Daphnia pulex: one gene and its partners. The protein of the gene in region 1 interacts with the protein of each later gene in a biochemical or structural test. Links are inferred from orthologs where the notes say so. Each region holds a gene or a part of one and is shown on either strand. Other genes may lie near its edges.

Region 1 (4,360 bases):
TTTCTGCCATTCTCTCACACCACTACCCAGCTCAGCCGTTGCTCGATTTTGTGTACAGATGGTTCAAAAACAACGAAAATTTAAGGGATGAAAAAGAGCAAAACTAGACACAAACGATGAAGGTTGAACCAAACAAGTTTTTTTTTATATGAACGAAAGGGTAAAAACGAGAGGAAGGGTTCTGGTTGATGGTGAATGTATCGAATTTCTTCTACAGCTGACGAAAAAATCACTTATTTTTTTAAGACAAATAATTCCCCATGTTATGTTTTTTTTTCTTTTCTTAATCTGCCGATTCGTATTCTGTTTTAAATTAACTTGGTCCAGTATTCCATCCCCGAGCAGCACGGCAGTTCACAACACTACACTGGACGAGCGCAGCTTATATGCATGGGAACCAAAGTGTTTTTAGACAGTAACGTTGACGTTAGTTTTTTTTTACACACAAAATATTTTTAAAAAAGCAAAAAAAAAAGGAAAAAAAAAACTATTTGAAACAGAAATCTGGTGATGTTATTTTCCCTTCACAAAATGGATGCCGCCCTCGAAAGATCAATGACAACTGGCTTATTTTCTTTTTTTTTTTTTCTTTTTCTTGTTTTGCGTATCGTCAGCCGGGTGTTGTTGTAGTCTTACAAACAGTTGCTTTGAAAAGTATGGTACGTTTTGTTGTTGATTGTTGTTTCGGTAAACACAACCACGTCCACGCTACACACGGCTCACTGGGGAAGGGGCACGACACCGCAGGATTTATTCATTTCGAGGTCATCATGGTCACGAATTCTGCAAAGATAAGAAAAATCGTGTTAGTATCATCGATTCCACTATAAACTAGACAAAAGTGGGGGAAAATAGGAGTTGTCCTGCATCGACTATCAAATTTTAAAACGTCTTGGGAATTCAGGTCACATATTAAAGGACCAGGTTGGACTGAATCTTTACGACGAAAGACGATGAATATTTTAGAGGTAACGCGCTAATTTCGGTTTAAAATCGATGCATCATCATGTTTCTAACACCAAAACTGTTTGTGAATGCCTCCAAAATCAGATTAAAATCGGATTAGGTTAAGCCATGGTTGTTAAATAGAAAATTTATAATTGAGTTACGTTGTCACATTGACATTTGTCACAGAGTCTAGAAATTATGCGTCTGTGTACCAACAGAATATTAAAGGTGCGTCTTTGATAGTTTCTAGACACATGGAACCAAAAGCAGCTTTTTAAATTAATATTTCTACTTCCATATTCCACATTATTTTTTGGTCCATCTGGGAAAGTATGGGACCCGCACGTGCATGCAAGAACCTCCCTAAAAATGTGGATATCTGACTATTTGTAAATGCAGGGCTTAGTTAAAAATCTAAGGGTTTAACAGGCGGACAGACGATGTCGACTGCGATAAAAGAAAATTGGATGCAGGTGAGCATGACATATCATAGTTTTTACCTTCATAGTTAACTTGGCCGTCTCCGTCGATGTCAGCTTCGCGAATCATTTCATCGACTTCTTCGTCGGTCAACTTTTCTCCTAGATTGGTCATGACGTGCCGGAGCTCAGCAGCTGAAATGAAACCATTGCCGTCCTTGTCAAACACACGGAAGGCTTCTCGAATCTCTTCCTCGCTGTCGGTATCTTTCATTTTGCGAGCCATCATCGTCAGAAACTCGGGGAAGTCGATTGTTCCGTTACCTTTGGATTAGAATGATAAGAACTACATTAGATTTCTGTATGATTAGAAACAAAATGAACAATAAGAAATGAACGTGGTTCAAAACAATTTTCATTGATATTGAAAACATGCAGCCAGTATTCTCATTCAAGAAAAGTTCTGCGAGCAGAGAGCAGATATTTCAGGAAGTCTTTTGACTGCCAAGAATCAAGCAGTCAAGCCACTTAAGCAGCAAAAACAAACTTGTCAGAATACTTGATAATCTATTGGAGTTGCAATAAATTAGAAAAATTGAATAATGTGTGTACCATCAGCATCAACTTCATTGATCATGTCCTGGAGTTCAGCTTCAGTGGGGTTCTGTCCAAGCGACCTCATGACAGTTCCCAACTCTTTGGTGGTGATGGTGCCGTCACCATCTTTGTCAAACAAGGAGAAGGCTTCCTTGAACTCAGCAATCTGTTCTTCTGTCAACTGGTCAGCCTGTAGAGGTACAAATGTTTCTGGTTAATATAATTGTCTTGAGAATTCCAAGACATTTCAACATGAGTAATAAAGAGAGAGCCTTGATTGGTATTAACATTGCTCAAACCAGACTGTGTAAATTTGCCCTGAATAAATCTAGCAGTACCAACTTTCTCTTTACTACTGGCCTTGTCTGGTCAGTGTGCAACCATATTGTTTGAGAGCTTCAAGTCTGGTTGTGTGCCGAGCTTAAATTGACGTGTGCAGCAGCAAGCTGTTACGAGCTACTCCAAAATTAGAAAAGAAAGAAGCATTCGACATTTCGAGGGCGATGACGGCCAAATTGCCCCCTGTTTCAGTACAACGAGCCGGCAATGTCAAAAGCGACAACTATCTGAGAAGAAAATAGGAAAAAAGAAAAAAAAAAAGAAAAAGGTCGTTTGATTTTACTTCCCCCTCCCCCCGACCCACCCGACTCTTCTCCAGTCATAAAATCTATATTTCCGTCAAGTGTAGGCTAGGCACTAAAAATGGCGGAATTTTCGTGTGCCGGTTGGGAGAGGATGCCGACGTGGAAGTACTTACCATAGTGGATATTATTGGATGAAATAGAGAGTTGTCGGGGAAAAAAACTAAGTTATCCTGGACGACGGGGCAGGAGAGAGAGCAAAGGCGGTACCACAACGAGCAGCGACGGGGGACGTTCACCAAGCACAACAGACGACAGCCAACTGAGCCGAATGCTCGGAGGAAGAGAGAGAGTGGGAAAAGAGGCGGGGCCCGACTAGAGGCGCCACATGCACATTGCGGAGAGGAGGAAGAAGCCCTTTTCTCTCTCTACGTATATTGACCGGGTATAGCGCAACCTTCTTACTATTTCGAATCCTCAAAAAATAAAATAAGTTGACTTTTTTTTTTCTCTCCTTCTTTTACCGTAATTCTTTTTCTAGACTTTCAAAATCGGGAGTCATTGAGCAATGCGGTGGTACACACACACACACCGTCAGGGACGGATCAACTCCGATACAAGTTGTCATATGGCCGTCCCAGCGTCGCAGTAGTATGTATGCAGCACAGTAGACGTCAAGAATGATGAGTATAAGCTCTAAGCTTTTCTATATACCGTCAGTCCATATGAGTTTCGGGTTTTATTATATATATGGAGAGACCATCAGCCCTGAATAGAAATGATATTGCGCTAGAGTGGCGAATGTTATTTGGCGTAATTGCAAAGGCTCGGCGTTATGCTTGACACGCTTCAGTGCGAGACGGAATGTTGTTGACCTTGCTGCTGCTGCTGCTGCTAAACTATACACATGTCTTCTCTCAAAGACATCCTATATATGCGTGGGCTATATTGGTTGCCAATGTTATAAATTCGTACCAACTCTCAGACCGGAAATAAATTCGACCATTGTTACAGGGCACCCCTGTGGGTAAAGTTGGGGTTTTTTTTTATAAAAGAAGTCTAGCCACCAAACTAATAGAAAATCTACATCCTTTTCAAAAGGCTAGAGTAAACTCGCACACTATGGGAAATTCTTGATTTTGTAACTTTCACTTTATACATCCGCCTTGGAGATGTAACATCAAAAACGAAAGTGAGATGTTTCAATGAGAAAATATCATCAAATGAAAGCTATTATTGTAGTACGAATAATGGGATCTATTCAACTGCGCCCCAAAACGTGTCTTTTGTGTAAAGTGTGTACGTATTTATTCATTTTCATTTCGAAACCAAATTCCGACTTAACGTTTCAATCAATCCGCACAAAGTAGCTAAAGTTGAAAAAGTTGGCGCACACACACACACGGGGAAAAAAGGGAAGGAAACGGAATAATGTGCAACTTGTGTTTGCCGTTAACTGAATTATGCCGAAATATCTGAGTGTAAAGTCAAATATTTAAATTCCATCATCGTGCAGAAAGTGTTGGGTGCTGCAGACTTTTCAAATGTAATGCAATTAACTTTCCGCATTGGTACGACATCGCGCCAGTGAAAATAAAAAAAAGGTACGCGACGAATTCGTTCACGCAAGTCAATAAAATGGGAAAAGTCATTGGTAAAATCTAATTTCTATTTGCGGCGGACAAATCAAATCGACGCGAGACCAAAAAGGGTCGGGCGGGTGGGGGGCGATCACCACGGAAATTGTTTTCACTGGTCTTCTTGTTACACGCTGTAAAACTCTGTACGTTAGAAATTCCCCTGGGAACGGCGGCT
Region 2 (4,284 bases), on another chromosome or scaffold:
TGCATTCGAAACTTGGAGCCGACGCTAATGAAAGACAACTTTCCTTTCCATTGTTGGGAGCTGTTGCTTGTAGAGGCCACAAACAAACCTGCAAAATACGTTAAATTTTCCAATTTAATAACGATAGAACTACAATTCAAATGTGGATATTTCCAAAAATAATCACTTTTGAGAAAAGGGTTGTGGCTCTCCTGGATGATGCACTCGAGGGAAGCGTGAAGGGCATCATTATTTTTTTCAATGAACTTGGCCGTCTGGTAGCAAACAGCTCCGGCAAAATGACGGATCAAAAATCCTTCGTCATCGCGAATTTCCCGGTGGTCCCGCAATTTAGATTTTCGTGGCAGAGCTAAACGGAAGTGGTTAGGGTTGGCCGAGTGAACGGTGGAAGTGAAATGCGTATGGTTCGATTTAGGCAACTTTGATTCTTCATCCAGGAGATAAAATATTCCGCTGGTGCGGGCCTCAATCAGATCGATGCAATCCTGATTATCTACGTACACGATTTTTTTAACACCTAAACCCTCCTTATCATACAAAAGTTGTTCCTCCTTCAAGATTCGCTCGTTGAAAAACTGTTGTAGTTTTTCATTGCAGTAATTGATGCAAAATTGTTCAAAACTGTTGACGGTGAAATACTCGAAGCCGGCAATATCTAGTACACCGACATAGTGCATGGATGACTGGAATGGAATGCTTTGGTTGATCCGATGGACGATATAGTCAAATAGGCGGCTATAAATAGCTTTTGCTAAAGCATCACGGGCATTGCTGGCTTCGAAAACCTAAACGAAGTTAGCACATGTGTTCAGTACACGGAATGAATACTCAAAATATCGAGGCATGAATACCTTCAGTGGAACCATGATGACAGTACCCTTTATGCCTCCTTTACTTGGCTGCATTACTCGGGAAAGTAGGGCATGATGGAGTTCTTCTGGATCCACACCGATCAAAGCCGAGGCGTTTCGTAATGCTTCATGGCTGGATTTCGCTATTTGACAACCACCACGGGCATCTTCAGCATTGTCTTCGAATGTTATATTTCCAAGATGCAGAATTGCGGCTACGGCAGAATAAATAGCAAGTTTCTCATCGTCCGACATCCCTAAATTACTCAATGCTTTGTCAGTTTGCTTGAAGTCGTTGGCATCGTCCAGCAATGGATCGTTTAACGATCCTCGGCTTCGATGCTCTTTACTCTTCCTGAATATTACAAATTATCAATAGGAAATTTTATACACTTATTTAGAAAAATGACAACTATTACCTATTAGGATCTATTGAGCTATCGGAACCCTTTGAAAGAAAATACTGGGTACACCTAATTTAATGTGGTTAATAACGATAAAAATTTAATTGAATAAAGCTATTAATTGTGGCATACCCTTGAGAAAGGTAGTGAAAGTGGTCAGGGCTACGCAACTGGAGTTGTCCCTTGAGCTTTTCAGAAGCGCCAGCACACAGTTGATAAAAAAAGTGATAGTTGCGCTCTTCTTTGCTTTGTGTCACAATACGCGACTTCTCAAGTAAGTAATGAGATATAAAGCCACCAGCGATGGTATATTTGGATGTAAAATGGATTTCAATAAATTTTCCAAAACGACTGCTGTTGTTGTTTCGCGTAGTTTTAGCATTTCCAAAAGCTTCCAAAAGTGGATTAGCTGTGTATTAAAAAAAAACGTTATCGTTATCCTAGGTTTAATGGCCACTTTAAATCAAATCAACGATCAAGATTCAAGATCTATAATTTTTTACCGTCAAGAATTTGTTGTTCAATAGGTCCAGCTGACAGCCCCCCTGATTCACAAAGATACCTAAGGATATACTTGGTTGATTCAGTTTTTCCAGCTCCAGATTCTCCCGACACCACAATGGACTGGGATTGTTTTAATACTCTCATATCCCTAAAAGCTTTGTCAACTGCATACATAAAATAATAAAAAAATAAGTAAAGTATTATTTGTTAGCATTACTGATGAACTATTTACCAACAGCAAACACATGTGGAGGCAATGTTCCAAGTGATTTCCCTTGGTATTTCTTGATAGCATCTTTGCTATAGAGCCCCTTGATTTCAAAGTAGGGATTCACTGCAATCAGAATGTTAGCCACATAAGTGTAAATTTGATCTCTCTTGTAGCGTAATGCAACATTGTTGAGAAAAGTGGCTTCATTTAGAAACATCAAAGAACCTATGAAATACAAGTTATGATGATTATTAAAATTTCATGGTGAATCAACAATAAAAATATTACAATTGTCATCAACATCTTTGTTGTCGTCTTCTCCTGCAGGATACACACGATCATATGGACACCTAATCTCCTTCAATCCTTGTTCGATAGGCAGGACAGTTATTGCTTCACTTCCCAAATCTACTATTTTGCCCAATATGAAACCTCTGTGAACATCAGGAACCCACACTTTTTGGTTATCCATCTGAAAAACACAAAAAAACACAAACAGCAGATCAATTAATAAAAAATTCACAACATTGAACCTTGACTGTCAAATTTTCAAAAACATTTTCAAGCCATAGCGCTCAACGCGCTTCAATGTTGGGGTTTCATTTGTCAACCACTAGACTGCTATAGCCGACAAAAGCGACAGGTTACCAGGCCACATAATTGAATAACGAGCCTTTGTGTTCCTGTAAATATTTTCGTACCATCACTTTTGGTGTTACCGGCGCATTTTCGGGCGCGGAAGACGATTCTTGTATCTTACAACCTTTTGCTGCCATACTAAAGTTTGTTTGGTACAATTTCGATTCGCATTTGCACAAGTGTCAGCTTGAAGTCTCAAACTCCAAATGGCAGAATGACTGCCACAGACAAAAAGCAGAGCAGACGATGATGGAAACGTCATCAAATAGGACCTGTCTATCTAGAGTTTCTAGACTGCCAGAAACCAGTTAACAGTAATCCAGTTTACAACAGTAACAAAGGACAGTAGCAGGTAGCAACAAGGTTGCAACTTTAAATTAATAATTTCAACCCTTACACTTCTTCGTGCATCAGAATGTAAATAAATAGGAAAAAAACCTCGAATAAGGAAATCAGGAAAATCGCTACAAAAAATCCCCATTAAGACAATAACGGAAAATACTTTGGATTATTAGAGATAAAGCAGGAGAATAGGGTTGTCGAACGTTACTCAGATATGTACATATGAAACAAGATATGAAATAAGACCGAACGATCATTTATCGTGCTAGAATAATCTGACATTGCATTATAACCATAGCCATCTGCTAATGCTATTTCGTCGCAGCAGTTAACTATAAATAAGACATTTAATTCTTGAATTTCTAATGACACAAAAGACATGTGTACAACAGGAGAAAGATATTCGGAAACGGGATAAAAAAATAGTTGAAGATTCCGGTGAAAAACCTCAAGGTTGTTCACCCGCTACGAGCGCATGCACAACCAACAGCAGATGGTCGAATGATCATCCTCGTCTTAGCCCACAAAAACCCCTCGGATTCGTTCACATCGCCGTTGCCGCTGGATGCTTTCTGAAAAAAGGTGAAAATCCAGTCAAAGAATTTCGAACACGAAGAGAACTGTTATTATCAGCAGCAGCTCTGGTCTGCTGTGCAAGTGCTATAGCGCAAGGGATATGCCGTGTGGGTTTTGTTTGTTCCAACTTTTCTATCCGTGTGAAATGAATTTCCAACTAGCGCAATAAACTGGCCAGCCCCACCAAACGGAAACGCTAATGATTGATAAAAGGAAGTGGGAAATAGTTGAAACAGAAACCAAAGCACAACGAAATAAGAACGAACAAAAGCAAAGAGGGGGAGGGCCAAAAAGAAGTACAACAAGCGCTTCAATTTGAGGGCAGATGATTTACACTTGGCCAGTCAACCGCTTCGATACACCAGTCGGACCGATCTTCCAGGGCTAGTTTTTTTTTAAGGCCAAACTACCTCATACAAAAGCACGAAGTTAAAGAGAACGGGAAAAAAACGAATCCCGGAGAAAGTTTTTCTTTTTTTTCCCGGGAAAATTTACAAGAACATAAACATGTCGTTGCGGTGATCTCCCATGGGTCATTCAACCATTATCATGTAGTATGAAAATAACTTAAAAAATACTTCTATCTTAAATCTCAAACTATTTGAAAAGTCATAAAATCCAAGTGAAGTCATGTTTAAAAAAAAAGCAATATTTGTTTAGATTACGTTAAACGACACACTCAGTCAGGGATTATTTAAAGATATGATGCCTGTTAGATTTCCTAAAATAATGCCATGAAAATGGACGAAGGAAAGGA
Region 3 (4,383 bases), on another chromosome or scaffold:
GGAGCTGGGAGGGAGCGGGGAGGGCTGGGAGAAGCAGACGATTCTTGACCAAAGGATTGTACCTACGTTAAGAGTCAAGCGTAATAAAAATTTTCGTTCTGCTATCGGCCGCAGTGGTGCGCATCGGCGTAAACTGCGCACGACTTTTTACTCGACTACTACTTTTTCGTTGGAATAACATCTATAGAGCTAACGCAGGTCTATTTTTTTTAAGTCATGTTTTCCTAGCCCTAGCCGTTCAACTGCAAAAAAAGGCCAAAGTGGCCTAATTTGCATAAGATCCTCTCGGCTTTCCAACGACTTTTAGAACGGGTCATAAGTACCTCGGAAAATTTTAAAAAAAATCAGAAAAAAATCAGAGGTGTTCTCACTACCTCTACCTATGTACATACCAAATTTGAAAGCATTTGGTTAAAAACTGTAGTACTGAGAGGACTGAAAAAACAGCGTTTTTCATAAGGTCCTCTCGGGCTTCCAAAGACTTTCGGTAGGTACTGTATACCCAAAAATACGTGTGTTTGAAGCACGTAATCAGTAGAGCAACGGTAAAACGATTGATCACCTTGCCGAATCGGACGACCTGACCCCTGCCGGCAAGCAGGAGCATCGCTTCAGACGGTTCCTCTCAGGCTTATGGAGACGATTGTTGTCTTTACTTCGTAGTCTGTGGTAACAGTCGTCTTTTAGCGAAAATAGGGGCTTCCGCGTTCTCCCTATACCATACACTAGACACTCAACTAGTCAAGATGACGGTCAACCCAAAATAAAGGACTACCTTCATTGTGAGCACATAGAAATCGCTTAAATAAAGAAAATAGTGGGGACGGTGACGATTACCTTAATTTAAAAGAAAATAATCGAAGTAAAAGCGTTGAAGATATAGTAAGAATATATCGAAGTAAGTAAATAATGAGTCGATTTTGCTCGCGGTGGATGAAATTTTCTTGATCCAATCTTAAGAAAAATCAAGGCTGTCCGGGATCCGATGCGTTCCAGGATTTGACCGGTCCCTATGAATGTATTTTTTTTTTTTTTTTGTAGTTGACACAAAGAAAACTCTGAAAAAAAGTGTTTCTTGTATCAATGCAGCACATTTAATTTATCGTGTTATTTAAATAAATGCACGCTAGTAGTGTTCCGCGCGCGATTGAAGACGCATGCGTGTGTGAATGTCTTCTTGACAGAGCGAAATTATTTTGGGGCTGTAGACCCAAATACAAAACCAGGAAATGAATATGTGATGCTTCGTCGGATCTCTAGTACCAGGTTGAGCTAAATAAGGACATTAATTCAATTAGTTGGGGACATGAATCCTCACAAATGAAGCCTGGGTGATACCACCCACTCCAACACCTTCACCCACTTCGTAGTGGCATGTGTACATAATCTGATTGTTTAATGTTAAATACCCAAGGTCGCTTGCTTTCTCCCTGTATATAAGAAATCCAGCAATTCTGTTCACTAGTCAGTTACGAATTCTTCTTCATGCAAGTGAGCGTCAAGTTTCTTCATAAAATCACCCATATATATATACTTGGAAATTGGAATCCATCGCAATTTTACAATAGAACTTTATTTGATAATTTTAGTTACATAAAATAAAGTCTTAACATTATAAATATTTTAAGTGATTTTTCAATAGTGAATATAGTTCTAATTAAAATATGTTGTATATAATGAAAACCGTATCTCAGAAATGATAACTTCATTAAGACTCAGAAATGGCTTTTATATTTATCTATTATTGTATTCACACTTTAGAAAAAAAAATTATGGAAAAACTTTTTTTTTTTGCTGTAAAAACTTCGTTTCACCACGAGTCCGTGACTCAATCAGAATAGATTTTTGAGTTTCGTTTTTGCGGAAATAGTAATTAGGATTTGCATCTAGTCGTAATGCACGCAATTTTGTGCGTAATCTAGTGAAAAATTGAATGTCTCAATCCGCCCAAATGTCCTCAATAGCTGAAAAAAAAATTATTTATTAGCGAAAAACAGAACGGGGGATAGCAAAAAAATCATAAAAGTTAACCTATTCTCTTTCATACCTAAGCTTCAGTTAAGCCTACATTTGAACGTTTGTTTAAAAAATATTTTAATAAATATGAATACAATTAAGAAATTTTTATCCTATGCTTTTGACAGTTTCTGTATAAGTGAAATGAGTAAACCTAGATTTAATTATTGTTCGTTAATATTTTTTGTTTCTATTATTATTCCGGATTTTGTTCGAAAAGAATGGAGAAACCTCCTAACAAAGGTGACGACGTCGTCCCGCAGTTCAGCAACATCGAAGAGGTTTCCGATTTTCTTACTCTTTTTTTTAGTGACTCACAACTGGATTGAAAGAGTTTTTTACTTTTTACCCGCTCATTCTCTCCGCGAGTCTCCTAGCGTTCTAAGTTAGCGCTGCAGTGAGCGATTTCTGTTTTCTGTCTCTGCCTTTTAGCAAAATGAACTCTTATGAAGGAGAAGTCATTTTTTTATTTCTCAGAGATAGAAATTAAGTATGGTACACTGACTGTATACAGTATTAAAATTACTTTTTTTACGAAAACGGCTTTCAGGGATGTATACGAACAGAGAGCTTTCGTGACCTTAAGATGCCTATACTACCCAAATCATTGACACTCGAGGAAAAAAAATTCCTGCTAGCAGTTGAACGAGGAGATCTCACTACTGTTAAAAGGTAATCGTTCATCAAAAATCAGACAACTCAATTCATGGTGCACGGGAAACCAATTTTTGGCTGATGGAGAAAATAAAGTATTAGGATCATTGCAAATTCTAATGTGGATGTAGACAAACCATTTCCTTCGATGATAATGATTGATGGTAATCACGAACACACACTTGATTTAACACTTTTCTCCTTCTTAAGACATTCCGCGATGCTCATTTTGCGGAAACGGAATGTTTTTGGCGTTTATAATTCGAACTGACGTATAACGATTAAAAGTGGAACGAAATCGTAAAAATTTGTTATTGCCAGTAACTAGAAATAATTTGCCTCCAAATTTCAGCATTTGCGCCACACTATGTTTTCGTTATCTGAAAGAAGACCATTGAGAAATGAGTTTGCAGAAAAGTGGTCCGTGTCTGGCAAAAGCTAGCTGACCGGATATAGTTTCATCACTTCCAGGGAATAAAAAAAATATGTATGAAAAGTGAAAAATGGGGTATTATTGGATGTATATCAAGTTTCAGTAATATCTTATAGAATCTAATTAGTTCTCAACCCCGTTCTCAACACATCGCCGTCGAATGAATTTACTTGGACGATGATGATACCAAGTCGCAAGACAGAAATGTTTGTTATTTGTGTTTTGTTTTTTCGTCGCACGTACACTACGTTGATAATCAATCACAATTATAACTGTGATTGCAATCACAAGATATTTATTTCACAATTAATAATTGTGATAAGGATTAATCAGTTTTAGTAGCTTACATCAATGATATGCGATTTAATTGCTTAATAATTATAAATGACCACTTCAATTCACGATTATGCTTATTTACAGTACCGGTAACAATTTCAATTTTATAATTTGTGTGTGATGTATAAGTTATGTAATGTATTTGTAATTTGAAACTTGTCTCAATACTCGTGTATCAGAATAATCCACCGAGTTAAGCGAGGACTTTGCGGTAATTCCATTAACTTGAACTGCGTGGATCCTCTAGGACGAGGGGCTCTCCTTATGGCTATTGATAATGAAAATTTACAGGTTATCAGTACATTTTTAGGAAACCAATCGAGGTTTAAAAAATAATCGATTACTTACTTTTTAAACTAGATGGTGGAGTTATTGGTAGTGATGGGGATTGCCACTAGAGATGCTTTGCTTCATGCTATCGACAAAGAATTCGTTGAGGTAGAGCAAAAATGACCAGCGCAATAAAAATGAGTGTTGAAATTTAAATGTTTCAAATTCATCTTAGGCCGTGGAGCTTCTTCTGGAACACGAGGAGCTCATTCATAAAGAAGGAGATCCATACGTAAGTCGTATTTTTTAACGATTTAAAATTATATGTTTTAGCAACTTTCCATTAATAACCAGCATATAGCGATCTAAGCGATGTGAACTGATCAGTTGCGTTTTGCGTACCAAAACTCAAAATTCAAATTATTAATCTTCTGTATTTTGGTGTCTTTACTATTTGGTTTCAGAGCTGGGAGAACGTGGATCGGACCACTTCTTCTTTTACTCCTGATATTACCCCTCTTATTCTGGCAGCGCATCGTAATAACTACGAGATTCTTAAGATTTTGCTGGACCGTGGAGCAACAATACCAGTCCCACATGACGTTCAGTAATTTTCATGTTATTTTTCTTATTTTAGTAAATAATTGTGTTGCGCTCAACCAAATTTTAGGTTG

What was found.
Region 2: the proteins of calmodulin (region 1) and myosin heavy chain 95F-like form a complex in vitro, tested with the Drosophila melanogaster proteins (2 studies listed by BioGRID). The link is inferred for Daphnia pulex from reciprocal best matches to the Drosophila melanogaster genes Cam and jar.
Region 3: the proteins of calmodulin (region 1) and transient-receptor-potential-like protein interact in a test that uses a peptide from one of them, tested with the Drosophila melanogaster proteins (2 studies listed by BioGRID). The link is inferred for Daphnia pulex from reciprocal best matches to the Drosophila melanogaster genes Cam and trpl.

The regions. Positions count from the first base shown.
Region 1 is NC_060018.1:7,623,727-7,628,086, reverse strand, and holds the start of calmodulin, read right to left. Parts: upstream 2,967-4,360; 5' UTR 2,725-2,966; coding exon 2,722-2,724; intron 2,155-2,721; coding exon 1,980-2,154; intron 1,692-1,979; coding exon 1,449-1,691; intron 784-1,448; coding exon 755-783; 3' UTR 1-754. UniProt on the Drosophila melanogaster protein: Calmodulin mediates the control of a large number of enzymes, ion channels and other proteins by Ca(2+). Among the enzymes to be stimulated by the calmodulin-Ca(2+) complex are a number of protein kinases and phosphatases.
Region 2 is NC_060017.1:3,745,984-3,750,267, forward strand, and holds the start of myosin heavy chain 95F-like, read right to left. Parts: upstream 2,955-4,284; 5' UTR 2,747-2,954; coding exon 2,672-2,746; intron 2,443-2,671; coding exon 2,259-2,442; intron 2,196-2,258; coding exon 1,992-2,195; intron 1,924-1,991; coding exon 1,759-1,923; intron 1,665-1,758; coding exon 1,388-1,664; intron 1,325-1,387; coding exon 1,271-1,324; intron 1,207-1,270; coding exon 852-1,206; intron 786-851; coding exon 167-785; intron 89-166; coding exon 1-88. UniProt on the Drosophila melanogaster protein: Myosin is a protein that binds to actin and has ATPase activity that is activated by actin. Together CLIP-190 and jar may coordinate the interaction between the actin and microtubule cytoskeleton.
Region 3 is NC_060025.1:5,640,360-5,644,742, forward strand, and holds the start of transient-receptor-potential-like protein, read left to right. Parts: upstream 1-1,429; 5' UTR 1,430-1,491; intron 1,492-2,236; 5' UTR 2,237-2,237; coding exon 2,238-2,297; intron 2,298-2,566; coding exon 2,567-2,688; intron 2,689-3,618; coding exon 3,619-3,730; intron 3,731-3,799; coding exon 3,800-3,877; intron 3,878-3,944; coding exon 3,945-4,001; intron 4,002-4,173; coding exon 4,174-4,316; intron 4,317-4,383. UniProt on the Drosophila melanogaster protein: A light-sensitive calcium channel that is required for inositide-mediated Ca(2+) entry in the retina during phospholipase C (PLC)-mediated phototransduction. Required for vision in the dark and in dim light. Binds calmodulin.